3 linked regions of the Alligator mississippiensis genome follow. The protein of the gene in region 3 purifies or fractionates together with the protein of the main gene of each other region. This does not show direct contact. Links are inferred from orthologs where the notes say so. Each region holds a gene or a part of one and is shown on either strand. Other genes may lie near its edges.

Region 1 (7,550 bases), on a different chromosome or scaffold from region 3:
TGCAAGAGTGAGCAGCTTGCTGGCAGCTGTACAGCTAATCACTGATGGTTAAAATAAAACCATAACTCCTTTGAATCTGGAAGGGGTGAGAAGCACAGCAATCAGTGCAGACCCAGCTGACCAGATCCATGCACAGGGCCACAGAGAGTGGGAGGCAAAGGAGAAGTCTGTCCAAACCCTCCTCCTGGCATCTCACCACACTCTGCAATGTTGTGAAGCCAGGGAAATAAACGCTGTTTGAGCAGTGCTTACCTGACTGATCCCATTCTAAGCAGGTGATAATTTCAACGTGCCCAGAGTTAATGGAATAAACGTCCCATGGATGCTCTGTGTCGATGATATGGACCATGTGGGTGAGATCTAGGAAGAAAACACACAAGGTCAGTTCCAGGTAACCTCCACTGCAGGTTTTTAAACTGTGACAACTCTCAGAGCAGGACACCAGCAACAGCTTCCCTCATTTCTACAGCAACACATATACACAGGCTTCCTTACCTGATGTACCAAACGAGCCACTCACTGCTCCAAAGAATTAACTGTCTACAGCTCCTTAGCTGGCGTTTCTCAATCTCAGGATTGTGAAAGTGCTGGAGGGGTGGAAATCAAAACCACCTCCCATTCTGCAAGCAGTATCTTTAATAAAACCAGCTGAAGGAGCAAGGCACTTCCAGCCTGGGAAGAGGAGCCCTTGATTATAAAAGAGGCTGAGAGTCACTGCCCTGGTGTATGAAATGACTATGATGTTTTGCGGAGAGGAAAAGAGAAAGAACCTAAATCTCCCACACTGTTTGCACTAGGACTCACTGATGTCAGAGCCAGCAGGGCCCATGACCGCACAAGTCCTAGCTGCCCGTGTACTACAGGCCACAGAACTTTGCCCGGTTCCCCTTGTATTGAGCACGGTTCCAGGCGACTAAGGCACAGCCTCTAGAAAGGCATCCGATTTTGACCTAAAGTGATCAAGAGACGGGAAATCCACCACTACCCTAGAAAACCTCTCTGCCTACGTTTTCTGGCTGCAGCCTGCTTGTCGAGAAGCCCAGCGTGCGAGTCTCACAAGGTGAGAGGCTTGGTTATTCCCCAAAACAACAGGATAACATGTCCTATTGAGAACAATTTAAGCAGGCTCTGACTCTGCACTGAACCCCTGCAGTCAGACCCCTCAACTCCCTGAAACCAGTGGCACCCGGTTCCATCCATGTGGATCTGACAACAGAATTAAGGTCACAAGCAATAAATCAATGGTGCCTGGAGATGAATCCCCAATCCTTTCCGCTGCATTTGCTCCTGCCTGTTGAACCACAGAAAAGGGGAAAACTTGTCACTTCAGCCAGGAAGCACCTTGCTTCATTGGAAGGCAGCAGAAGCAAGAGACCCGTGCCATGGAGGAGACTAAACAGCAAATGCCAAAGTCATTTTCATTCACTGTGATAGGATGAAACATTGCTGCTGTCGCATCCACCGCAGCAGCCACTGACACCTGCTTGTCCCAACTCTTGATAACAAGCGTGCTGTCTACCCAGAGGAGCACACAAAACACCAACAGACTCTCCCTGTGCCCGGAAAAGGGTGGTTTTTTTGCTCAAAAGCTTGCAAAGAACAATTTTTCCAACTATTTAGTTTAGGTGCAAAGAACAATTCTTCCAGCTCTTTCGTTTAGATATCGCATCGACCCAAAAAACCTCGTCCACAACCAGCAAGGAGAATAAATAAGATGTGCAAACAACCCTCTCACGCAACCACCGGGCAATCAAAGCCAGTGAGACTTATACTCTTAAATCACTTTGGGATTCGCTAAAGCACCTTTCTGAATGCTTTATCCCCAGCTAGAAGCAATGCTAGGGGGGACTACAACAGGACACCGCTCTTCCTCGTGGAAAATTCCCATTGTAAGACATCGTTCAGGAAAAGAGGAAAACACACAATTTTGCCCTACCTTTTTCCTCTTCATTTTTGAGGTCTGTCGTGAAGGCGATCAGGTTCCTGCAGGACCAAGCACAAACCAGTGGGATTGAAGGGCAGTGGTTGCTTTTGGGCCTCTTCTCCCACTCGCAGATGTAAGCCAAGTCCATGCTGCCTCGGGAAGGCGTCCAAGGCACCGCTCGCCTTCGCGACGTCTAGTCATGGACTTTGGTGCCTATGGAAGAGAAGAATCGCTGTTCTCTGCTGTCGGACTCTCTCCCCCCGTTTCACCCCGCTCAGGAGACCCGGGCCCATCGCTGGAAAGCTGCTTTATAAAGTAGCAGCTGCTTTCCAAAGGAAACGCGCTGCGCTGAGCCAGGGCCCCCAAATACCGAGAGGGTCGCACTGGGCAGGGCCAGCGGAGGGGCGAATGCCTGGCACTATTGACATGCTTTCTGGCACGGTCTCGGTTGGTCCAAGAACGGTGTCATCTCTGCACCACGAGTTCAGGCTTTTTGCATCTCGCACGACTCGGGAATCCTTAAAAACGCCTCGGGTCCTGCCCCAAGACCTCGCCGAATACCTGCCTTTCAGGGAGATGGAAGGGGGGGCTCGCTGCCTCCGCCAACGCCGTCAGCATCGCCCCCCACCAGCAACCCCTGGCCCGGACACAGGGCAGCCAAAGCGCCCCCCCAATGTGCAGCCAGGGGTGCCCCCCAGGGGTAAATGGAGTGCCCCCCCCTCCCCCAGGGGCAACTAGAGTGCCCCCCACCCCACCCAGGGGCAACTAGAGCCCTCCCCACCCCACCCAGGGCAGCCAGAGGCCCATCCCCCACTCCTCCAGGGGACAACCAGAGCCTCCCCCCAATCAGGGGCAACTGAAATGCCCCCCAGGGGCAACTGGAGCTGCCCCCAGGGTAGCCAGAGCCCCCTCCCCTCCCCAAGGGGCGACTGGAGCCCCCCACAGCCCCCCCCCTTGCCTCCCCTCCCCCCGCGCAGGACTCACCCCCACCCCCACCCCAGCGCTCCTTCGCCGCTGGCTGACGAAGGCCCCCGGCAGGGCTGCCCGCGCTGCGCCTGAGCCAAACGTGCAACTCAGGGCCGAGACGGAGCCCTCGGCGAGGGGGGGAGAGGGAGGCTCCTCGGCGGGAGGGCTGTTCGGCTCAAGCCGCAGGCGGTTTCGGAGCCGCGCGCGCAGGCATCGTTGCGGACGCCCCCAAGTCGGGGTCTTTCTATATCAGGCTGCGCTCCGGGCCGGGTGTTGATTTGTATACAAGCTCCCTCTCCCAGAATCCCTCGCATCGCCGGCGCTGGAAAAGTGGAAGTTTCCTAAGATTTTACCACAAATAACTTAGAAATTAAAAAAGTATCTGCATCATACAGTATTTTTCATGAATCATTCATCTAATTATACTCCGTAACGTGCTATAGTTAATCACCATAAGAGTAAAAGTATGAATAACTATGAGGTATAAATATCGATCTGGGAGAAGGGACATTCGTGCTCGCTTCGGCAGCACATATACTAAAATTGGAACGATACAGAGAAGATTAGCATGGCCCCTGCGCAAGGATGACACGCAAATTCGTGAAGCGTTCCATATTTTGCTCCTCTCGGGTCCATAGTTTGCTCTCCCAATGTTCCGCTTTGTGCATTCCCTTGGGCCCATAGTTTTGCTCTCCCTTGCAGCTGCAGCGGGACCCCCACCCCGAGCCCCTTTGCCATGTGGGGGCTGGAAGGAAACGCCCCCTCCCAGTAAGCCCCAGTAGCGCTGCCTAGTGCACAGCCTAGCAAACTGCGCTGGGCTTCCCAGAAGCCCACGGTGCCCCTGGGAGGGCAGGTCTACCCAGCCCCTGGCCCTGCTGCCAGGGTGCAGGGCAGCTGCCCCAGGTGGCAGGAAGGGGCACGGGGCAAGGGCTCCTGTGCATGCTTTTGCAAGGCCGGGAGCGGTACCACCCATGGGAAAGCAGGTAGAGGGCACGAGGGGCTTCATTTCTTCTCCCCTGGAGGTCCTCATGGAGGAAGGTTACGTGCCACTGTGCCTGCCTCAGCCCAGCAGGCGCCTGGCATGCTTGTGGGTGCAGCACATCTGTTTTCTTGGGGGTCTCCCATCCAAGCCAGCTTGGGCCTGGGGGCATTAGGCACCCCAACCCCAGCCCCTTTTCCCTCCCATGTCCACGTCCTGCCTCTTCCACGTGGGGTTTTCCAGTTGGCACAAACTGAAGCTGGAGCAAAATGCTCATTGCAGTCCCACGTGCCAACAAGGGGATGCCCCCTTGTCTTGTTTGCCACCAGCCAAAAGGTCAAGCTGGGAAGCCCAAAAGCAATCCCACCGCTGTCCCCATAAACTGCACAGCTGAACCCCTTGGCCAATGCAGTGCCTATCTTCAAGAAAGGGAGGAAAGTGGATCCGGCTAACTATAGGCCCATCAGCCTGACTTCTATCCCGGGGAAGATCTTAGAAAAGTTTATTAAAGAGGCCATCCTTAATGGACTGGCCGACGCCAACATCTTAAGGGATAGCCAGCACGGGTTTGTTGCGGGTAGGTCTTGCTTGACCAATCTCATTTCCTTCTACGACCAGGTGACCTATCACCTGGACAAGGGGGAAGAGATTGATGTCATATATCTTGACTTCAACAAGCCTTCAATCTGGTGTCCCATGATCACCTCTTGGCAAAACTGGCTAACTGTGACCTTGGGTCCACCACAATCTGCTGGCTGGGGAACTGGCTCCATGGTGGGACCCAGAGAGGGGTGGTTGAAGGAAGCCAGTCCTCTTGGTGTCCTGTGACCAGTGGGGTCCCCCAGGGCTCTGTCCTTGGACCCACACTGTTCAACATCTTCATTAATGATGTGGACATTGGAGTCAGAAGTGGACTGGCCAAGTTCGCCGATGACACCAAACTTTGGGGCAAAGCATCCACACCAGAAGACAGGCGGATGATCCAGGCTGACCTGGACAGGCTCAGCAAGTGGGCGGATGAGAACCTGATGGTGTTCAACGCCGATAAATGCAAGGTTCTCCACCTTGGGAAGAAAAACCCGCAGCATCCTTATAGGCTCGGCAGTGCTATGTTGGCTAGCACTATGGAAGAAAGAGACTTGGGGGTCATCATTGACCACAAGATGAACATGAGCCGGCAATGCGATGCTGCGGCTGGTAAAGCGACCAAAACGCTGGCTTGCATCCATAGATGCTTCTCAAGCAAATCCTGGGACGTCATTCTCCCCCTGTACTCGGCCTTGGTGAGGCCGCAGCTGGAGTACTGCGTCCAGTTTTGGGCTCCACAATTCAAAAAGGATGTGGAGAAGCTTGAGAGAGTCCAGAGAAGAGCCACGCGCATGATCAGAGGTCAGGGAAGCAGACCCTACGATGACAGGCTGAGAGCCCTGGGGCTCTTTAGCCTGGAAAAGCGCAGGCTCAGGGGTGATCTGGTGGCCACCTACAAGTTTATCAGGGGTGACCACCAGTATCTGGGGGAACGTCTGTTCACCAGAGCGCCCCAAGGGATGACGAGGACGAATGATCACAAACTACTACAAGATCGTTTCAGGCTGGACATAAGGAAGAATTTCTTTACTGTCCGAGCCCCCAAGGTCTGGAACAGCCTGCCGCCGGAGGTGGTTCAAGCACCTTCATTGAACACCTTCAAGATGAAACTGGATGCTTATCTTGCTGGGATCCTATGACCCCAGCTGACGTCCTGCCCTTTGGGCGGGGGGCTGGACTCGATGATCTTCCGAGGTCCCTTCCAGCCCGAATGTCTATGAATCTATGAAATCTTAAGATGTGCTGGAGAGCGGCCGTCTCCTGCCCACGTGCACCTGGCGGTCACGCAGCCTCTTATTGAAAAGCAATTGCAGGGCAGGAAGCCTCCCGCAGCCCCCGGCACCTGGCAGGGGAGATGCTTTCAGCCCCGGTGGCTCTTACTTCCCCTTCGTCTCGGTTTCGAAGGCCGTGGCACAGGTACAGGTGAGGCCTGTCCCTTGCTGATCCCTGCCAGAGTCTCCGACTGCCTCCAAGTGCAAGGAGCTCAGCTGTGCAGTTTATGGGGACAGCGGTGGGATTGCTTTTGGGCTTCCCAGCTTGGCCTTTTGGCTGGTGGCAAACAAGACAAGGGGGCATCCAACCTCCAAGGCCTGCGGGGCCTGGATCTGGGACCACCTGAAGCATCCAGAGTTTGGGAGGCAGGAGACTTGCTAACGGACAAGGCAAGAACTGGGGCCAAGGGCTGCAAGGGATAGAAACCCTCTCCTCCGTCCCACAAGCTGCAGCGCAGAGGGACAAACACGTGGGAGACATTTGAGCTCAACCAGCTCCCAGGCTCCCGCGTTGCACCCCACCGTCTCCTGCTGGAAGCCCCCCGGGGACGGACACCGACGGCTGCGCCCCCCAACAGAGACGCGGACACAGGGAGTCCGGAGCACCATGGTTTATTGTTCTCGTGCAGATGCCTCCCGGCTCTGTACGTGTCCTCGCCTTCCCCAGCCCAGCCCCCCACAGCAACCAGCAAAAGGAGCAGTGGCAAGAGCTGGAGCTGGATTCGGGGCATCGAACACATTTAAGAGGAAGGAAATCGTGATGCCATGCTCCCGAAGCAACGACACAACCACGGGCCACACGCCGCAGGCCCCAGTGTGCGCTCGGCTGCACGGGACGCTGGCGGGGCCACGAAGATCACTTTGGCTTGCCAAGAGGGCAGAGGTGGAAGGAGGAGGCACCAGTGATGGGGACCCATGGGAGAGCTGGGCCTTCGGGAGGATTTGATCGGAGCAGAAGATGCTATAAAAGGGCCCGATTCGCTCCCCGCTGCTGGGGGAGCAAGTCCTCCTTGCCCCCAGCGCTCGATGCCGTGGTGGTGAAGTGTGACACGGCCCTGCTCTCCCCAATCCTGCTCGCACCCAGGGTGAATCGGGAGCGATCCCAGCAAAGGCAGCAAACCCCATCCATCACCCAGCGCAAGAAGCACCACGACCCCCCATCCTCGACCCACCCCAGCTCCCCCCCGGCACGGGCATGCACGAGGCTTTTGTACAGCCGTGAGCAGTGACGCACACAAGTGCAAGGCAGCAGCACCCCGAGCCCAGCGCGTCCCTTTCAAACCAGCTGCTATATACACCGAAGAGAAGCCCTTGATACACAGACACACGCACAAAAACCCCACAGAGCGTACACGTTAAAAAAACCACAGGCGGCACAGTCTGCAGCCCTACAGCGCTGGAAACCAAGCCCATTTCACACAGCACCACAGCACGAAACACTCCCGTGCCCCGGCGCGCCCAGCTGCCCAGGGTGGCGGAGCTGCAACGCTGAGCTCCAGCCACCTTGGGAGCGGCGGGGCAGCCGGGGCCCGAGTTAAATCACGCACACACAAATATGTATAAAAAAAGGACACGCTATATTACATTTAAAAAGGATGGGAGCCCTGCCCTGCAGAGAAAGCCAGCCCTTGGCATTAAATCTCGCTGCTCTCTGCATTGACGCTTCAGCTGCTGCAGCCCAGCTTCGGTGCCAGGCTGCAGGGAGAAGCGATGGGACGGGGCTGGTGCCAACACCCAGCCCGTCCCCCCAGAGCTGCCACGAGAGCTAAAACAGACCCCCTTCCCCTGGGACCTAACCCTGGAGATGAGCCTTTAGCTGGAG
Region 2 (6,976 bases), on a different chromosome or scaffold from region 3:
TCTGAAGTGTCAGATCATCCCACGCCTAAACCACAGGCACAGCTTTGGACACTTTCCTCTTTTTGAGAAGAAACCCACCAAAAATTCACATAATTCCCTTTGTTTATCAAAGTAACAGGATCCGCAAGTAAAGAGGGGCACCATCCCTCTGGGTAGACAGACAGCTTAATGCCAAATAGGCACACAATTTACTATCGCACTACAAGACTCAGAACAGATGCTCCGTTATGAGAAGATCCCACCACCAGAGTTATCTGACTCTTTACCCCAGCCCATCAGCACCATACGTTCAAACTGAGCAGTTTGTCAGGTCACGACACTACAGAAGATGAGCTGTACATCTTTAGTGTCATTTCTACGAAGCTGGAGAACACGAGGGTGAAGGAGCGTATTCCTTACGCCGACTGAACAAAATCTAGTAATAGTCTCTTACCTGCCAGGTCATGATGAATAAGGTCAGCAAAGTTGGGGTCATCGCCCCACCAAAATATCCACAGCTCTCTGCGTCCAGGTCTCTGATCACGCCGCCAAACACTCAGTACGTCGGCCTTCAGACAGCGACTGAAACTGCTCAGAATGGGGTCTTCTTCCGTTACAGGAAAGAGAATTGGGGCAGATGTTGGGCCCTGCCATACGTATCGTTTCCATTTAATGCCAGTTAAATCAGCCTGGGGGAAGAGAAAAAACAAATTCAAGGACGTGTTTGGGCAAAAGCAAAGTTTACTACATCCAGAAATCATTTCTAGTTTCTTAGTTAGAAAGAAAGTATAAGAAAGACTCAAAATAAGAAACTGCCAGAGGATCCCTACTTGCTATGAAAGCATCAAAGATTAAAAAAGAAACAAGCTCCATTGGTTAGGTCAATAAAACTTGTCTGAAACTATATTCTAATTTCGTAAACCCAGGCGTATACCAGAATGCCAAAAAAAGACCCAACCCTAGGTCCCAAGTTATGATGACCTTTATCCTGTTTTAAAACTGCCTGAAATAACAACTCTAATTATTAGTAGCAGAAGCAAACCTGCAATGAAACTAATCAACTTTTTAAAGGCAGCAAAATAAAAAAAAATTAAAAAAACAGAAGTGAAGGGCAGCAATGGAGTTATTTTCAAACAATTTCGTAACTGCGTGATTATTAACTAATCACACATCTTGGCAAGGGATTTTTTTCTCTGGACTTCATCTTGCATTGGCCCTTCTCTGTATTTAAGTTACAAAGCCCTTTCAGAAACCTGTATACAGTCCGCCTATCCTCAAAGGACACTTTCCAATCCCCTGAAAGACTTTACCGGTTACAGCAAAAAAACACAAACCCTTTCAGACACAGGGAATACTTCAAAGAAGCATGGTGACTATACCCTGCACAACACTGTTCTCTTCTCATCTCATGTCTTACAAGTGAAATTCTAAATTATTTTTCCTTGCTGTAAATGTGTTTGACTTTGGTCAGGAATGAGAAGTTATGATGTGTCCCGGACCTTCCGAGCCAAAATGCATTTTCCCCTGCTTCTTCCTAGAGGCAGATTACCTGCACCTAATGGGGAAAAGACGAAGCTAGAACTGTTATTTACAAAGCAACACTACTAGAGACTAAGGTGAACGCTATGACCACTGCTTGGCTGGAGCAATGACCTCGAAGGGCTTGCCAGGAGGCACCATGGGTTTTAAGCTAATAAATGAGCCTCTGTGATGGATACCTTGTACTTGCTTAATGATTTCCTCCTCCCCCATATGAGAAAACAGCTAAGAGTATTGCAGCTCCAGGTCTAACATGGCAGCCTCCCCTACCTCAATAAAAAGGGGCAAGGCTGGATTCCAGGTTACGAAAGGATTTGCAACAGCTGGTCCTTCTGAAAGACTAGAGGGCTTAAAAGATGTTGGTGGTATTGAGCTACAGGCCTGATGCTGCCCGTCCCCTTGCTATCTGGCAGACACGACCAGGCTGTCCAGAGTCCCCTACCCCCAAATCCGCCAGTGCAACAGACCGACACATGTTTGACAACAACCACCATCATCCTCAGTACCAGGTAGCCTACCTGGCACGCGGCGACCTGCGGGCCAACGCAAGGCTGTCTACCTGGCACGCCGCGACCTGCAAGCGACTAAGGCAAGCCCGAGCCGTGACCCCCCCCCCGAAATTGACTTGTTTCCATCAAGTTGGCGTGGGCAGCCATCAACACGAAACCGCGGACCCCCTAACGGGGATCGCCCAAACCGCTCGGACGAAAGCGAGCGGCGGAGCCAATCCACCCGGGAAGAGCGGGGAGCGACGCTTCCTCGGACAAAACGCCCCCGGCCACGAGATAAGACCGCGGGTTCGCCCCCCGAAGGAACCTGGCCTGGTCTCCCACCCGCGAGCGCCATCGGGCTCGGGCTGGGGGGGGGGGGGAAGAAAGTTAGTTTGCGTGCCGCCTTCCTGTCAGCGCTAACACGAAGACGGGTGGCGATCGGGCGGCGGGAGCTGGGGGCTGGGAAGGGGCAGGCGAGCCGTGGCGATAGGGAGCTGGGAGTTGGGGGCCGGGAGGGAGAAGGGGCAGGCGAGCTGTGTCCGCACGGTGGTGGGAGTTGGGGGGGGAGGAGGAGGAGGGGCGCCAGGAGACAGACAGACAGCAGGGTGGGGGGAGAGGTGAGGTGCGGGGCCTACTCCGAGGACTCATCCAACCCCTAAAAAAATGGCTGCTCGGCCTCCCCTCCCCCCCGCGGCGGTCGGGCACTGGCTCACCAGGCAGAAGAGGTTGGAGTGGCAATCCTCCAGGCTGGCCCCGTTCGGCACGAAGCAGGAACTCATCCTCACAGCCGCAACCCGCGCGCCATTATCCCACAGCCTCCGACAAGAAAGAAAGAGACAGGCGGGGAGGGAGGCGGGGGGCGCCCGCACGGCTCGGCGCCGGGCCGGGGCCGGGGCCGGGGCGCCGGCGGGGGGAGGCGCGGGCGCTGCCCGCCGGCTCGGGGGGGCCGCGGCGGCAGGAGGCGGAGGAGGAGGAGGGCGGCGATCCGGCGCGGGGGGGCGCGCAGCGGGCGCGACCCTCCGTCAGGGGCGGGGGCGGGGAGCGACGCCCGGCCCCTCGTGTCCGCGCGGGGGGCGGGCGGCTCCCGCCGAGTCCGGCCGCCCCGCCGAGTGCCCGCCGCCGCGGCCGTGTCCGCGCGGGGGGCGGGCCCCGAGTGCGCGGCCTGCGTCCCGGAGCGCCGCCCGCTCCCTCAGCGGTGCCGCTGGCGGCGGCTGCCCGGCCGCGGCATCCTGCCCTGCGCCGCGTGCCGGGGGCGGTGCGGGGGGCGCGGGTGGCGGTGCGGGGCAGGGGGGGGGGGTCTGCGCTCCCGCTCCGATCCGAGCCCCTTTTTTTTTCTTTAATGGCGGCCGCGGGGACGAGAGTCCGGGGCCCCCCCCGCCGCGCCGCGATTGGCCGCCGCCGCGTCACGTGGCGCCGCCCGGTCATGGCGGCTCGGCCCAGGCGGCGGCGGCGGCGGCAGTGGCGCGGAGCGGCCGCTGGGGCGCGAGGCAGCGCTGTTGAGCCCGGCCCCTTGCCCGTTGAGGCGCCGCCATCTAGCGGCCGCCCAACGCCTGCGGCCCAGCCGGGGGGTGGGTGGGGGGCGGCCTGGAGGTGGGGGTGCAGGCCCCAGCCCTCCTGGCTGCCCCTGAGGGGTGCCCTCCACCACCAACAGTGCAGACAAAGCTGGGCGGCTGGGTCGCGCACCTGCACCGCCCGTCGTGCTCGGGACGCTTCTCCGCAGGTGCGACTGGGCTCTTCAGCCGTCTTCAAAAAGTCACCCCCTCGTGTCAAGGGCAAGCCGGAGGAGACGTTCGCTAGTAATGGCGGGAGGCCACGTTGAGGGCAGACCTGAAGAAGGCGGACGGCCGCGGTCAAGCCTTGGGAGGAGCGGTTTGGGCGACGGCCTCCCGTTTTGAAGGAAACGGTCTCGCCCTCGCGGTGGAGGACAGAGAGCAGGGGGGGGAAATCGGGCCTACGGTCTGTTCTCCGCTGTGGAAAGACCTGCAGCTTGGTCCGCGGTTCACGGATAGGACTAAGTTGCCTCGAGACCCATTGACGAGCCACGGTAGAGATCTTCAAATCAAGGCATCGCTGCTGCCGCCAGCCACGACGGCAAATTCACGAGCCTGCGGCTGGACCACAAGCGCTCAAGTTGGACGGACCATCACGGCTGCGGCATCGTTTTGACATTGTTTTTTTAAACGTAGCTTTGCTGGCTAACGTCTTCTAGCCTGGCTTTGCCAAAGGGTCTGATACAAACGATCGAGAGAGTTGAACAACCGGCGTAGGATGGTTTGGAAAGGGGGCTGCAGGAGGTGACCGCTGGAGGTCCCTTCCACCCCGACTTCTCCAGGATGATCCTGTGACTTCGCTAGTACAACATCTGGATGCCACGGCGGCACGCCACATCAAGACCTTGCAACGCATTTCCCAAGCCCCCAAAAACTTATTTCAGGATTGGTGAATGAGTCGAGTGGCAGCTTTCTACTGCTGCCTTGACTGAGCGTGGGAGGAAAGAAAGGACACTCTATAAATACATTTATATGCTAAAAGGCACAAGCAGTGAGCAAGCACAGATGCATTTGCTTCTCATAAACTTTGTAGATTTAGTCACCCTGAGATTATTTTCGTATGCCCTTGCAAGCAGGATTTTCCTCCTTTATTCAATTAAGCCTAAACTGGAGTGTTTAAAAGAGAAAATGAAATTTACAGGAGATCTTTTCCCTTGCTGCTCATCTAAACTCAGCAGCTGGGGACAGAGATGGGATGCGGGGAGAGGGCAATTAGGAACCCAAGCCCCTTTCCGACTAGAAGCAGATGGTTTTCTCCGTGGTGACTGAAGATCAGGACAGGACTAGGAGGAGGTGTTCTGCTGCAGTGCTCAGAACCGACTCCTCTAGGCTGCTTTGGATACAAGCAAAAGCCCTCCAAAGTTTTAATGCAGACCTTTGGTCGTTAGAGTAATTATCTCCCTGCACACAGAGAGAGTTGTTTGCAGCGTTATTAAGTCACACATCCCCAAGGAGAAATTCAACACTTTGAAGGAACTACAAGAAAGCAGAGATCAGCATTAATACAGGAGTACCGGTGTGGTTTCCATTAAGCAGAAGAAGGATCTTTGGGTAAAAATGGGATTCGAGTGCGAGAATGGCAACATTGCAGTACTTCTGTAGGCCTGATTTTTAGAGGGAGAAGCAGCCCTGTACGTCAAGGTGTGAACAATGACAAAACACCAGCAGTTTAGAATCTGGCCCCATCTCCTTAAAGGGCAGGTCGGTGGTTAGACCAAAGGATTCAGAGGCAACCGATTTAGGGTCTAATACGGACTCTGCCCACGGGTTTTCTGCCTAGCTGGTCTTTGGCAACTTGCTTACGTTCTACACCTCATTCTCACATCACGATCAGGTTAGTAAATACATTTTAAAGTACTGCGGTATCCCTGCTGAAGGTGCTATGGTATACAAGTGCAAATTTATGCCCAGAAGCAGAAAGGACATGTCCTCAGAGGTGAAATTAGCTAAAGATACATATTGTGGGGTTTTTTCCTTACAGTACTGGTTGTGGGCTGGTTGTGTTGTTTTTATTCCCCCCTCCTCATCCTATCACTTCTGCGAGATCCAAAATGATCTTATAGTAGCCTTATACCTTACATAAAGTGTCATACACAAAAAGGGCCCTGCCTAAATCATATTAAGACACACTGAATAATATTAAGTGTATAGCTATTCATGTATGGCAGCCCTGCATCTTATGCAACTTGCACTTCAGATTCAGATCACTACAAGTTGCAAGACAAAGCTTCTAATGACTGGAAGGGGGGAAAATGCCTCCTCCTCTCCCCAACTAATTATGCAAAAAAAATAAAAATAATAATACTAATAATATCATCACTAGAACTGGGAGATGAGTGCTTCATTTATTTATTTATTTTATGTAGGTCCCTGCAGAGTCCTAATCTCCACAACTTCCAAAAATTTACATGAGAACTGTCAAGTGCAGTGCACATTTTAAAATGTTAAGTTTAAAGTTTGGGGGTTTTTATATTTTAAAATATTTTTACATATGTCTTGTATATGTACATTAAGCTATTTGTTTATAAAAATCAGGAGAGATGAGGTCAAATAAGCATGCCTTGTACTTGGAGCTGAAAGCAATGGGGTCTCTGATGGTTCCTGTGCTTATGCAATAGAAAGAACCAAGAGAACGTTGCTGATCCAATTTAAAAATTAACCAGTCTTTGGAAAGATAGTGATGGGGGGAAGTGTCCAGCATTGCACAAGACTGAAGTCAGGGAACTGGCTAGGTGAAACCTTGAACATTAGTATACTTATCCCTACATATTATACTGTTCCCCCCCCCACTTACAAGTGGCTTCAAATCATCTAAGCATCCAGCCATGAAGAGTGAGAAACAGCCTATTTTCCCAGTAGGCACAGGTGCTCAAATAATTATTTATTAGTGGAATAAAGAGAAGGCACAAAAAAGCAAGTCCTTTTTCCTCAGCATTGTTTGCATTTCTGAACTGTTCCAGTTTTTGCTCCTTTTTCATTTACGTGATAAAAATATTCCCCTGTTGAATATGAAGAGTCAATGGATTATATCATCGCCTGGGGAATCTCTCCATGGAATAATATAAAAGAAAATGGTACACTTTGAAAGTAAAGTTCTAAAAAGGAAAGTGGATGAGACATCTAGCGGACAACGCCAAGCACAACTTGAAGTGAACAGCACAAACAAGCATCACCTTCAGTAACACCATTACTTAAATAATGGAAGATGAAAAAGGACTCGGTGGCAATCAGTGTATGACTGCAAGATGGAGAGGGCAGTTTTTGCAGCCTCTAAAACTGCTACAGCCAATTGCTCTTCTCCCCTTATTTATATAGTCTAATTTGGGAGAACGGTTCTGTTTTTTTCCAGCACCCCAGACATTTATACAAGTAGAATTCCCTCCATGTTCTTGAACTACTGCCACTCAAGAGTTTACA
Region 3 (7,393 bases):
CCGGCAGGACAGGGAAGGAAAGGGAGCCAGGGAGAGAGAGTACAGGTGTGCTGCCGGCTCTTGCACGGAGCGTCGAGGACCCCGCCTGTGGGTCTCAAGCAGGCAGTGTAGGCAAGAGCTGGAAGCCTTTCGCCAGCAGCCAAGCGAGAGGCGGTCAGAGAGTGCATGCCGAGGCACTCTCTCTGCGTCCTGAAGCGGCAGACACACAGGAGGCAGGGGAGCGCCCTGCGGACGGGAGGAAAGGGGAGACAGCGGAGGCCCCAGGAGGGGGCTGGAACCGGGGGAAGCACCCACCAGCTCCCCCTGGTTCAGAGGAGTATTATTTATAAGGGAGGAGAAAGGAGAAACCCCTCTCAGCAGGAGGGAGGACAACCGGGAACCGGGGAACCGGTCAGAGGCCATCATACTGGGCCTGGCAACATCTGGAAGACATCGCCCAGTGGCTGGCGTGTGGACGGGGTGTAGGGGAGGCGGAGCCCCGTGGATCACCGCGTCCAATAACCGTGAGTAACACCATCTATCGGGAGGCCCCACCCAGGATAAAGATCTCCTCTGGAGACCCCTCTGAAGGTAATTGAGTACATCCAAGTCATGGCAGGCGAGTTGAGGGGAGGGACAACACCCCGATAGGCCAGGCGGAGCGAGGCGCAGGCTCCACACGTTATTTCTTCACACAGTAATAATGGAATTTTGTATTTGAAAAAATATATCAAATATTAATTTACTATAGATTTTCCAAAATTATTTAAAGTTCTTGGACATATGGAAAATAGCTTACATTTTTTTTTTAGCTTTCTGCAAGAAAAGCAAGCCACCTACCTGGGATTTACAAGCATATTGAAGTTTTAATCACAGAACTGCAATATGAAAATAAAAAGTAACAACTAGGTAGGGCATTAACTTCCCATTACTGTAGTAGCAGGGGAAATAGAGCAGTATCATATAATCACTCTGACTCTGCTTACCAGCTAGTCTAGAATCACACACTCCAGCTACCAGACTTATGAACTACAGCATAATTTAATGTTTCCTTGGTGTCAGACTTTGTTGACTGAACTGCAAGGCTCCTCATAGGTGGATCCAGACCCATGTCTGGTGGTACAGCATTAAATACCATGGGGATTAATGCACCCATCTGTCTCTCCTGTGTTGTGCACATGCATCCCCAGTGGGGCTCTGTATGGCTGAATTTGGCAGTGGATCCCCCAAATTCCCAGCCCTTCCAAGAGCTCTGCAGGCTGAAAGACATCTCCATGGGCCAGATCTGGCCTGAGGTACACACTTTGACATTCTCCACTCTAAAGGGTAACAATGTAAAAGTAAGCCTAGGAAAAGGCTAGACACTGTGTGGGTGGGGGGGGAGGAATAGTGGCATGATATTTCCTCTGTTTGATATTAAAGGTGTTAAGCAGCACTTATTCCAAACAAACACTTGTAGAAACCTTTTACTTTAAGTACTTACATAAGTTACTTCACTATGCTTCTTGTAAGCGCAGGTTAAACAAATGTTTTTCTGGGGTGGTTTGGAAAGAGATGATCCCCTGCTAAGCAAGAGACCACCTCCCAACATCCCTTCCAGCCCTATATTCCTATGACAACAGCACCCAATTTTTTTCCCAGCATCACCTCCTCAGAAATCTCCTGGACCAGGCTGACAAGCATGAGCAGTAGAGGCACTCAGGGACCACTGTCACTACACAGATTGCAAAATGCCTGGGAATAACGACAGGTATCCATCTGACAAAGCCAACTTCAGCCCACAAAAGCTTGTACCCCATGCATCTTAGATAGTCTATAAAGGTGCAAACCTGCCCTGCTTTCAGACTGATGCAGCTAACTACCTCGGACAGGTATCCAAGCCAGGAGGCCACACTCACCAAAAGGGATCCAAGCAGCTCACAGCAACGCCCCAACTGGCCCCAAATCTGGGCACAAAGCACCCACACCTGATATCCACAGGCTCCCCCCAACCCAGGACTGGGTCCTGAGCCCACATATGGCCCCAGCCAAGGGATCTGCACCTGCCTTTGCCCCTGGGGAAAGCCAGTGGGGGGCAGAGGGAGTGCTCTGCTCTGCTCCAGGAACATTTCTAAATAGCCCAAAACTTTTCCCCAGGATTTGGCTGTGTGCATGTGTACCTGCACATGTGTGCCTGTGCATACATGCGCCTGTGTGCCCATGTGCCTGTGCATACATGTGTACACGTGTGCATGCGACCGTGTGTGTGTGTGTGTGTGTGTGTGTGTGTGTGTGTGTGTGTGTGTGTGAGCCATGTCAGCCCCTCCCAGCGCTAGCACCGGGGCCCCCGGGGAGAGGCCGGGCGCACGGGGCGGGGGGAGGCGCCAAAGGCCGGGGGCGGGGATGGCTCCTCCACCCGGCCCGGGCCGTGGCTGCGGGCCTTACCCGTCCTTGCGCCGGGCCTTGTAGACGTGTCCGTAGGTGCCCCTGCCCACTTTACAGCCCTCGTACTCGAAGAGGTCCTCCACCCGCTCGCGCTCGGCCGCCAGCTTGGACTTGAACTCGTAGTCCATGTCTGCCGTCCATGGGGCGCGGGCGGCGGCGCCGGCTCAGCGCCCCCCGCGCCGGGCGCCCCCGCCCGCCACCATCGCTGCGCCGCTCGGCCACTCCCGCCTTCCGCGCTGCTCCCTGCAGGGGGCGGGGGAGGGGGCCGCACCACCACCGCCCGCTTCAACTCGGGCTCCTCGCAGCGCCGCCCGCGCAGGGTGTTGCGGGACTCGTAGTGCCGCTGCCAGCGCCGCGGCCCCGCAGCGCCGCCCGCCGACTATAACTCCCAGCGTGCCCCACACCGGCCCTGGCCGAGCCGCGCCTGCGCAATGCGGTCCACCCCCATCGGAGATTCAGCGGCCGCTGGGAAACTTGCTGACTCCTCACATTGCGGGGCAGTGGCGGGACCGACCGACCAAGCGAGCGGGGCGGGGCGGGTGCGGCGGCCCCACAGCCTTCCCTCACCACGCACCCCCTGGCGTACGCCCGCCACCCTCCTCGCTCGCCGGGCCCCGCTGCAGCCTCTGGGCGCGCGGGGCCGTGGAGAGCCTCGCGCGGCAACTTGTTTATCTCCCGAGCTGCCACTCACCTCCTGGCCCCGCCCTCCTTTCCAGCGGCGCTTCGGATTGGTCAAAGCAAGTCCCGCCCCCTTTCCCAAAGCATAAAACCAGGTGTCTGCAGCATTATTTCTTAGGTTGCACTGGGGAGGGGCTTGTGACTTTTTTTTTTTTTCTTCTTCTTCTCTTTACCTTGTTCCTGAGGGTGCCCAGGCTCTTTTTAATGGCCTCGATATTCCTGCCTTCAGGCTAGTCTTTGTTCTGCCACTGAGCTGTCCCTTGGCTGCTTCTGACAAAAGTGGCTCCTATTTCACAGCCCAGCAGATTGTTTGCAACTCCTTCTAGCCAAGCTGTAGTTGTTTTTGCTTCCATCTGAAACTGCATACTCCCAGCAGTATCCCAGGGGACTGAGAGCAAGCAACTCTGGTTTCAGCAAGTTGTCCCTATTTATCTTGTCTCTGTAGGTTGTGAAAGGCCTTTGAGTTTGAAGAGAGAGGCTTTTAAAAAAAGCATAGAGCTTTTTTCAGGCACTTAAAAAGGATGCTTCTATACTCAAGCAGTCACAGGAGTGCTTTGAGTCTCTAAAACTAACGTTTAGATGCCAGTCTTTTTCTTGTTTGAGATCTTTTTGTAGGTCAAGTTTATCTAGGGTGTTCAGACACTGGATTAGCAATATGCTTGTTTTTTGATATTACTCATGATTTCTTTGCATTATGGAAGCACCAACAAGCCCTAATCAATCATCAGGGCTACCTCGTGCTGTGAAAGTAATACGAAAGTCATCCCTGCTCAGCAGACTGGTTTGAACAAGCAGCAACAAGTGAATGAAGTGGAACAAACACTTACTAGGAGAGCCAAGTAGTAGCAGTAGTTGATTTGGCATGTAGGAAACTGAAATGCTTGACAACCTGCCTACTCACTATCAGCTAGCTGGCAGTGTTTTTATGCATGAGTTAACAATGTGCTAGTCTAATTGATTGCAATGGGGATTTTTTTCCCATGCATAAGGGACACACCTTGAGAGAGAGATTAATTACCAGATGAAAGGTTTACCATTGTTGGCAAAGGAAAAGGACAGATGAATTGCAAACAGGGCTAAATTATTACGGTCAAGACAAGAAACTTGTGGCAAAAAGATTAATGTAATCCTGAAGTGATAATTCAAGGGTTGGGAGTCTATGGCCCAACAGGCCAGATCCAGTCCCTGGATGTGGGCTTTTCCCTGCTGCTGCTGGGAGAAGTGCCAGCTGCAGGCATTTTCCCCATGCTGCCCTGCACAAAAGTGTCAGCAGCTGGATCCCAGTGTCCACCACATCTAACCCACCCAAACTGGGTCACCACAGCTTGCAGCCCAAAAAGGTTACCAACAGCTGTGGGAGCAGGAAAGCTACCTCCTGTATAGTGCCAGACAGCTGACTTCCCCTCCTGTAAGAGTCAGTGTCAAAGAGCTGACTTCTCTTCTCTCTGCAAGCAAACTTCTCTAGAGAACTATGGGTACTGTTTTCTGCAGTGGTTCAGTTACAGGTATGGATCTCTATCAGCACAGTCTGTTTCTGAACTATATATTGGGATATTTCCATTTGTCTTTCAACAACGCTGAAGAAAGTATTCTAAGAATAGAAAAAATCCTCTGTCTTTAATAGTCTTAAGCTTTACAGTCCTATCAAATGTTTAATCAGCTGGTAATCATACTTTGCACTTGAGGAAGAAACAAATGCATTTAACTACAGTGCTATGTTGCCCTGATATATTAATTCAATTTTAACCAATTAAAAAAATACCCAAGTGTGTTACTAAGACTAAACTCCACAAACCTGTATGTAGCCCTTTTCAGTCAAAATAATGTGAAAAGATGGGAAATATCAATGACAAATATGTCCCTCTTTCTTCAGTTCTATCATTTACCTATATAACTACATGCCATATGGCGCCATAACTAATTGCATGCCTCCAATCTCAGTTGCTTTTTTGTGACTTGGCCTTTCTCCACTTCCTATCTCCACTTTTCTCAGCACTATATTTTTCCAGCTCTTTTATTTCTTTGCTTCCCTTCCCTTTCACTCTAATAACTACCCCTTGCTCATCTCATTGATGCAGTAGTGCATCTCTTCTCCTCCTCTAATCCCTCCATTTGTTCCAAGCGACAATCCCATCCATCTACATTGTATCCACTCATCCTTTCCTTAACCTTAACCGCTCTATGCTCTTTGGTTCTTTCCCTTCACAATACAAATATGCTTCAGTTTTTCCTCTCTCTCTCACACCTGTGACCCCAGTTGCCTCTCCACCTAGGCATTCCCACAACCATGTCACTAGTAAAAATCAATTAATTTGCTGTCTGTAATAGTAATCTGGTATAAATCTCAATTTATTTTAAAAGATGAATTAAGATGTGTAAGAAAGCTATGAACATTTCAGGCCTCAAACCATTAAAAGCTGAATGGAAGTCCATGTATATTTATTTTCATTTTTGTAACTTTCTGTGTGTATACTAGCAAATTGCCCATCAAAAATTATGGGGAGGGAGGGCAGGCGGGGACAGAGCACCACCACCCACCACCCTGTGCCACCATCACCTCCCAGAAGCGGGGGGTGGGAGGGGAGTTTGCATGTGGCAGCCACCACCACTAGCCACTGCTTCATGCTGCCGCCGCTCTGCATCCAGCCGTGCGCCACTTCCTGACACTCTGCGTCCAGCCCCACGCCACCCCCCTCACCAGTCCACATCCAGCCCTGCACCACCCCCCCATGACACTCCACATCCATCCCCACCTTCCCACTCTGTGTCCAGCCCCATGCCACCCATTCTCCCTCCCCTTCCCACTCTGCATCTGCCTGGCCCGCTCCGCTGGAGCCATGCCCCACCCATCATTCTTGACAGGCATTCTTGATGCAGCACTGGCTGGAGCCATGCCCCCCAAGAGCATTACGGACAGACAGACACGCTGACAGATGGATTAAGCCCTTTATATAGAGAGAATTTTTGCCAAGGTACCAAAACTAAGCTCCGAGTTGACTGTTTTCTCTACAGAATAAATAAACTCTTAGAAAAAAAATACTTTTGAGTTCATTAACTCTTGCAAGGGACAATACCTTTTTCAGGTCCTGCCAGGCAGTCATAGTTCATAATATGTTCACTATGTCTGAAATGTTTAAGTCTAATCTGCAGATATTAAGTATTAAGGAGAGCTGTAATTTTCAGTGGTGCCTTGCATGTACCACAACATTTTGATTTTCTCAGGCAATATCTTTGCCTTACGGGGGGGGAGGGATTTATATTTTTGAGCTGGTTCAGTATGTCTCTGGATATTTACTTCATTTATTGTGATACCTTGACAATTAAAGGCACTGTGGCAGAAAAAAATAGCTTATTATGTTTTGAAAGGTAAAGAGTACTAATCTTGCCATCAATAAAGGCATTTTCATGAAACCAAGTTTCATGAAAAGGCCTTTCTTTGATTTCTTTCCCCTTTAGTATTGCAATAGTGTTTTAGAATCAGTAAATGAAGCCAAGTGGAAGTGAAAATGAAAATGGCAGGTTTTTTATTGTCCAAACTGAGTAAGGTGAAAGTAATTAGCAAAATATTCACAAGAGATAAGGAAGTGTATTTTTTAAACTAACGGTAAACCTAACAGTGTCTGTTTTAAGAAGTCAAGGAGAAGAAAAGAAAATCAGAAGTAGCTATGATCACAGTTGTACCAAAATAATAGTGCCAGCTATGCTTTCCAATACAGAGCTAAGATGCAGAAGAATAGTGGTAACAATACTGTCTGTTCCTGTTCTACCATTCCCTCACACACCTTCCAGCAGTTTGTATCCTGGATCCTTAAAAGCACAGAATTAACTCAGCGGTCAGGAGTTTATCCTTGCCAATAGAAATTATTTAAAGAGTTCAGTTCTTTTTTGTTCCAACTTATTTTAGGCAACTCCAGAGGGAGAGGTTTTCTCCTCTAAAATTATAGAAACAATAGTGGGGTTTGGTTTTAATCGCTCTACGTTTCAGGTGCTTTACATTAACCACCGTGTCATCTATACATGCCCTCTGACTAGAGACAGGCTCACAAGGGTGGGGAGGGGGAGCTGTTTTAATGAGAGGCTGGAGAAGAACAGCACAAGTCATCCTTGTCTCCCCTTTACCTCTGGAAAGGGAGTCACACCAAGCAGTAACTTAGAGAAAATGGAGGACTCTTTAAGCAACAGCAAATGAGAGGGAGAAATACTGAAAGAAACAAGTTGTGTGGTGTAATTAGGGTTACCATATTTCCAGTTCCAAAAAAGAGGATACCTGCTGGGGGGAGGAGGGGATATGATTGTGAGGGGCAGTCCCCTG

What was found.
Region 1: the proteins of CDK19 (region 3) and MED16 purify together in Homo sapiens (affinity purification with mass spectrometry; 6 studies listed by BioGRID and IntAct, counting the BioPlex papers as one, with this or other methods). This does not show direct contact. The link is inferred for Alligator mississippiensis from reciprocal best matches to the Homo sapiens genes CDK19 and MED16.
Region 2: the proteins of CDK19 (region 3) and MED13 purify together in Homo sapiens (affinity purification with mass spectrometry; 6 studies listed by BioGRID and IntAct, counting the BioPlex papers as one, with this or other methods). This does not show direct contact. The link is inferred for Alligator mississippiensis from reciprocal best matches to the Homo sapiens genes CDK19 and MED13.

What each region holds. Positions count from the first base shown.
Region 1 is NC_081839.1:3,218,033-3,225,582, reverse strand, and holds the start of MED16 (mediator of RNA polymerase II transcription subunit 16), read right to left. Parts: upstream 3,020-7,550; 5' UTR 2,909-3,019; intron 2,606-2,908; exon of another isoform or gene 2,295-2,605; intron 2,138-2,294; 5' UTR 2,073-2,137; coding exon 1,937-2,072; intron 361-1,936; coding exon 253-360; intron 1-252. UniProt on the Homo sapiens protein: Component of the Mediator complex, a coactivator involved in the regulated transcription of nearly all RNA polymerase II-dependent genes.
Region 2 is NC_081837.1:3,766,956-3,773,931, reverse strand, and holds the start of MED13 (mediator of RNA polymerase II transcription subunit 13), read right to left. Parts: upstream 3,011-6,976; 5' UTR 2,789-3,010; coding exon 2,723-2,788; intron 669-2,722; coding exon 434-668; intron 1-433. UniProt on the Homo sapiens protein: Component of the Mediator complex, a coactivator involved in the regulated transcription of nearly all RNA polymerase II-dependent genes.
Region 3 is NC_081824.1:96,328,417-96,335,809, forward strand, and holds the start of CDK19 (cyclin-dependent kinase 19), read right to left. Parts: upstream 3,065-7,393; 5' UTR 2,532-3,064; coding exon 2,404-2,531; intron 1-2,403.